2 linked regions of the Saccharomyces cerevisiae S288C genome follow. The protein of the gene in region 1 purifies or fractionates together with the protein of each later gene. This does not show direct contact. Each region holds a gene or a part of one and is shown in the gene's direction. Other genes may lie near its edges. The genes, in order: SDH3 and SHH4.

Region 1 (3,299 bases):
GTTTAGACAGTGTAAATCCCTCTGAAGAGGAAGATGTGCTGGGCGAATTGCCCTCTATCCAAGACAAAAGCAAGACGGGGAAGAAGAAAAGAAAGAGCCGTCAAAAAAAGGGTGCCATGTCAGATGTATCTGGATTTTCCATGAGTTCAAGTGCCATTGCGCGTACAGAGACGATGACAGTACTGGATGATCAGTACGATCAAATCATCAATGGTTACGAAAATTATGAGGAAGAACTAGAAGAGGACGAAGAACAAAATTACCAACCATTTGACATGTCAGCAGAAAGATCTGATTTTGAGTCAATGCTTGATGACTTTTTGGACAATTACGAACTGGAGAGTGGTGGCCGTAAACTGGCTAAGAAAGATAAAGAAATTGAAAGGCTGAAGGAAGCTGCTGATGAAGTAAGCAAAGGTAAACTGTCTCAGAGAAGAAATCGTGAAAGGCAAGAGAAAAAGAAACTTGAGAAGGTCACCAATACACTAAGCAGCTTAAAATTTTAGAGGAGTAGAATGAGATGAGAAAGCACCTACATTACAAGTACTGTGTAGACATGTATACTTAGCCTAGAATGCATTGATGCTAAAATACATCCTGCCCACCGGGTAATAATTATGAAACGCGGCGGTGCTCTTTGTGGATTTCGGAGAAAGGGGGTGGAGGAAGGAGGTCGATTTTCATTATTCAAATATTGTTTTAGTATAAAGAAAACCGGCGTGCATTGCTTCAAAGAGCCGTTCAAATTAGTAACCGTTTGAGATATCTTGTCTTACTACTCGTATTCCGCAGATAAAGTACATTTTAAGAAAGGAAGTAAATACACATAAATAAATAGCAGGAAGAAAATGTCTAACGAAATTGAATTACTGCAGAAGCAAGTCTCTGAATTACAAGACTTAGTGAAGAAGCAAAGTCTGATTATCTCTAAGACAGGAGAGCGTGTGCTGGAATTGCAGTTAGATAAACAAAAGCACGACGTAACTGATTTTGATTCGAAATTCTCTAAATCTATCTCGAAGAAATCAGGATCCGCTACTCAATTCGATGCCACTGATTTTGCCACAAATGAAGATCTAGTGGAATTAGTCAAAGAACTACAGGGTGAGCTAAATTTCATCGAGGAAAGGTCTATCAGAAGACTTGTTAACTCTTTGAAAAAAGATGATGATGACGTTATAGCGCCACTGCCTAATGCAGATGGTGATATTCCTGCTATTTCAGACGGAGTGTTCCCTAAGTCGTTGAAAGAATTTAAAGACATCCCAGACTTAAAACTGGTAAGACTTGCTAAATTCTACGAAAGATTGCCACCAACTCTAAAGGAACAAGAAGATTTTGAAAACTTCCTGGAAGGTAAGGTGGAAGCCTTTCACATTAATGAGACCACTGATGAAGAGATTTCTAAGGAGTTGGAAAAGTTCTCCAAAGATGAGCTAGATGATGCATTTAATGATGTTGCCCGCTATCTAGGTCTCTCCCTTAGAAGAGGAACCGAAATATGGTAAACAGAAAATGAAAAAAAATGAAAAATCAATGAATAAGAGGGCTTGAGTTCCAGGTTCTAGAAATTTCCCTCACTTATATATATATATATATCTATATACATATAGTTTTGAGTATATCATAACAGGATTCTCTTTCAATGAAACCTATGTTTTCCGCGGCATTGCAGTTAAAGGATGTTCTAGTGGTGAAAAAGAGAAGAAAAGAATTCAAAGTTTTCCTCCCATAAGTATACCTATACTTTTTATCTGTGATTGAAAGCTGTATACCAACAGCCTTCTATATATTACCTTGTATACCATTCAGTAGTCTTAAGCATCATCTAACTTTTGACCAGGTCCATTCTGATTGGCTGCGGTAGCCCGCTCCGTTTTCCGCTCTAAGCGTTTGGTACTTGTATAAATGTGCACTGGCATTATGATATCGAGATCCCCGCATAGAAATCTCAGGACCAACCAAAAATTGCCAATCACAAGCTCTAAGAATAATAAACGATGTCTGCAATGATGGTCAAGTTAGGACTGAATAAGTCGGCTCTATTACTGAAACCCTCCGCCTTTTCAAGAGCAGCTGCCTTGAGCTCCTCGAGGAGGCTGCTTTTTAATACAGCTAGAACAAACTTCCTTTCTACCTCACCATTGAAGAATGTGGCCAGTGAAATGAACACCAAAGCGGCAATTGCTGAAGAACAAATATTAAACAAGCAAAGAGCAAAGAGACCTATTTCTCCACATCTGACCATTTACCAGCCACAATTAACTTGGTACCTGTCTTCTCTTCACCGTATTTCGTTGGTGCTTATGGGACTAGGTTTCTACTTGTTTACTATACTCTTCGGAGTCTCTGGTTTATTAGGTCTTGGATTGACTACCGAAAAGGTTTCTAATTGGTACCATCAGAAGTTTTCCAAGATTACCGAATGGTCCATCAAGGGTTCCTTTGCTTACTTATTTGCAATTCACTATGGTGGCGCCATTAGACACTTGATCTGGGATACCGCTAAGGAATTGACATTGAAAGGCGTTTACAGAACTGGTTACGCTCTCATTGGTTTCACCGCCGTTCTCGGTACTTATTTATTAACTTTATGATTCTTTAAGGCGACGCACCTGTTTCTACACACAAATATATATATAGCCAATTTTATATATACGTTCCTATATATGACCCAATACCGCACTTATTTATTCTTTAAGATCTTTATAACCCAAAATGCCGATTAACACAAACCTATATTTACTAGGGGCACATTTTTTATTTTTTTGCCTTTCTGTAAAATACAATAGAGAAAATAAAGGAACAAACAAGAGGAAAAACAGGAAAAGATAGCGCAAGAGTAATCATATTCAACAAAATATCAGTGATTTTTTACAGATATCAAGATAATTTCTTTCCGGATACTTATTGAAGCTATTATTTGTTACTGGCAAGAAAAAGCAAACATAGGCGGTCATTTTTCTTTTGTATAAAGTAAATACAAGAAGAATTATTTTCGAGGAATAACTAGGTGTGCAGAGATATTAAGGAACAAGGAAAGAAGAAAGAAAACAATTCGAACAAAACTTTATTATTCTAGCACTATTTTAAAAAACTGTCTTTTGGCAAAATGTACTTCCCCTTTTTAGGCAGATTATCGATAACAGATTACATTATAGTCGTCTTGGTATACATAGAAAGCATTATTTCATCAGTCCTTAAACTTATACCACAACCAATGATTAACCTTTTCGAATGGCTAATAAATTTCTCAACGTCCTCCGATGACAATACCATCGAAGAAAAGTTAAGGTCAG
Region 2 (3,055 bases), on another chromosome or scaffold:
GTCACCACTTGTCTGCCTATATCTTCTACAATGGCTGTCGATCCATCCAACGATAGCAACAGAGCTGCCTTTAGCTGAGCTTTTGCCCTATTCACCTCTGCATCCGATATTTTGCCAGATTTTATTCTCTTCCACTCTTTCAGGATCTCATTAACAATTAACTGCACGTTATGCTCATTAGAATCAGTTACTATGTACATTCCCCACAGACCTGAATCAGCGTAAGAGGTGGAAAATGACATATAAGAATTAGCCAAAGAACCATTTTGACTTGCTGCAACAGCTAATGGAGAGGGGGAGTTTGTACCTGTGCCAATGGCTCTGTCCCAGTTACCAACAATCGCTTGTGTTGCCAGAGCTACAAAATAATCAGGTGCAGACCATGACACGCCTTCTAATGCGATAGCAATATGTGTTGTAGGTAACGTGTTTTCTTTGATAAACCTTTCACCTCTACAAAAAACTGGTAATGGGCCCCTTGGTGATCCCAACGGGACAGGCGATTCAGATTTGGGCACATGGCCAAAGTATTTTTGAGCATACTGTACCAATTTTTCATGATCAACAGCGCCCGCACCTGCCAATACCATTCTGTCGCCTTTATAGTTCTTGGTTATATAGTCTTTCAAATCAGTTCTTGTTATTGATTTTATGTTTTTTATAGGACCCAGAATGGTTCTTCCTAAAGGTTGGTCCTTATACGTAATCTCATGAAGATGGTCAAAAACAACTTCATCATACATCTTGTCCACCTCTTCACTTTCTCTGATGATGACATCCCTTTCTCTCTCAATAGCACTATTATCTAAAACTGACTTAGTCAAAATATCACTTAGAATATCAACAGCCTTTGGGATATCTTCTTGTAGGGACTTAGCATAATAAACTGTGTTTTCTCTTGATGTATATGCATTCAAATGAGATCCGATATTTTCAATTTCCAATTCAATTCCTTGTTGTGACCTATTCTGAGTACCCTTGAAAGCCAAGTGTTCTAGAAAATGCGCTGTACCATTGTTTTTTACGTTTTCTGCCCTAGAACCAGCATCGACAAATATTCCAACAGTAGCCGAAGATGTGTTGGGGATGTACTCTGTGGCAATTGTCAACCCATTAGGAAGTTTAGAGGTTCTGGTTCCTGGAATTTGTGAGGAAATTGTACTTAAAAGCCTCCGTGTATTACGGAACTTGGATGCTGTTCTTGAAAACATTGTATGATCACCTATCACTTTGCGCACTAGTTTGATGCCTGAGAGCAAGATATCATGATTTATCCATAGCGTTCAAATTCACTTCTTATTACTAAAGAGATGAGTCCAGCTCGATTACGAATATCACTAAATACGTGAAAATAATATTGGTCATCTAATCTGTGCACTGAACAGTAGTATCACCCATTGTTGGCTGAGAAATTAAGCTCAGCATTTTAGCTTTCCTCACTACGTGTTGAGGAATTTAATACGTAAATATAGTCTTAGTAAAGCCGTGCATTTTACTTCTTAACTCCTTTGGACGGGATCAAGTTTAAGGAGAATAAAACCCTGATTCGCACCTTCAACGCGGCTCTAACATGGTACTATCAGACTCTCACATCCAGATTGGAGTACCCTTATCCGAAGTAACGATTTTTTATTACGGTTTAAGATAATAAGGGACGCGTATGATAACTAAAAATCGTCAGTTGAAGGGCGCTGGCCATAGGTATCCCTTAATTTTGACGTCGAATTTCATAGAAGCAAACCTATATATTTTCAGTCCCCAGTGGACAGACCGTTTATCAGTTCTAATGAATCAGCAACGATTCTCAAAAAGGTTGCCCCAATTCTTAGGAAAGTAGGAATGTCATCGACTAAGTTTTTGAAACCACTCTGCAGAATAAGGGCTTTTCATACTTCAATTGCCAGATCCTTTACCATTCCTTTTCTGCCAAAGATTCCACAGAAACCTGGAGGTGTGAGTGGGACCGCAAATGATTCCTCTTATATGCCGCCCGAAAGCAGAGCTCAGGGTTCGTACCATTGGATTGTCGAGCGCGGACTGTCCTTAGCGGTTCTTCCGCTGATCGCAGTTCCCTTGGTCACTACAGGCCCTATTTCCACTTTTACCGACACATTTCTTTCCTTGGTCCTGCTAGGTCATTGTCATATCGGATTTCAGTCTTGCATTATAGACTATATTTCTGAAAGAGTCTATGGAAAGGTACATCATTACGCGATGTATTTATTGAGCTTGGGCTCCTTTTTATCGTTCGTCGGTATATATAAATTAGAGAGTCAAGAAGCTGGTCTTATTGCCTCTTTAAAATCATTATGGGATAACAAACCTGTGGAAAAAAAGAGGCAGTAATCATCAATTAATCAATATGGTTTGGTTAGTGGTGACTACCTTTTTTATTCTCGTTATATATGTGTATTAGAAATAATTTAATAACCGATTATTTATTGCTTATTTTACTGGTCCCAGTTTTCCAACAGGACTTCTTTTATGGGCAAAGTGAACTCACCCTCTTCATTGACGTATTTTCTTGACCAAAGTTGGCCAGTATTATTGTGTTCCATAGGTATCAAGTGCGTTTTAGTTTGCAGGCCAATTTTCGTTATTATGCACGCTGAATGCAACGCTATTTGGTCATTGAACAACTCTGGAAAATTGACAGTGCTGCCATGTCTCTTGTCGTTTAATATGGGCTGATTTAAAATTTGAGAGACGTGATTTCGAATCTGATGTTTTTTTCCTGTAACCAATTGTAAAACAATACAATTTTCGTCAACTTCTTTGAACTTAGTAATCTCCCTACCACCATGTGAAATCAAGAAATTATATTTAGGACCATATTTAATTTCATAGTTATTTGGTTTGTTGAAACGACCGGACGACTCGACAATAGCTACATACTTTCTTTGCAACTTATAACCGTTGTTGCCGCCCTTTTGTAAAAATCTAGAGAATTTTACACTTCCGTCTTTAGTCTTTGCAATCAGCATCCCCCCCGTAACACAATGGTCTAACCTATGTACAGTACGACATAATTCTACTTCTCTATGTGAATAATAAA

What was found.
Region 2: the proteins of SDH3 (region 1) and SHH4 purify together in Saccharomyces cerevisiae (affinity purification with western blotting; 2 studies listed by BioGRID). This does not show direct contact.

What each region holds. Positions count from the first base shown.
Region 1 is NC_001143.9:177,667-180,965, forward strand, and holds SDH3 (succinate dehydrogenase cytochrome b subunit SDH3), read left to right. Parts: upstream 1-2,000; coding exon 2,001-2,597; downstream 2,598-3,299. Other genes in the region: ribosome biogenesis protein LTV1, read left to right, coding at 1-506; MRP8 (Mrp8p), read left to right, coding at 849-1,508; TGL1 (sterol esterase), read left to right, coding at 3,113-3,299. UniProt on the Saccharomyces cerevisiae protein: Membrane-anchoring mono-heme cytochrome b subunit of succinate dehydrogenase (SDH) that is involved in system II of the mitochondrial electron transport chain and is responsible for transferring electrons from succinate to ubiquinone (coenzyme Q).
Region 2 is NC_001144.5:492,044-495,098, forward strand, and holds SHH4 (protein SHH4), read left to right. Parts: upstream 1-1,839; coding exon 1,840-2,346; downstream 2,347-3,055. Other genes in the region: MAS1 (mitochondrial processing peptidase), read right to left, coding at 1-1,211; pseudouridine synthase PUS5, read right to left, coding at 2,451-3,055. UniProt on the Saccharomyces cerevisiae protein: Homolog of SDH4, but seems not to be a stoichiometric subunit of either the succinate dehydrogenase (SDH) complex or the mitochondrial inner membrane translocase TIM22 complex.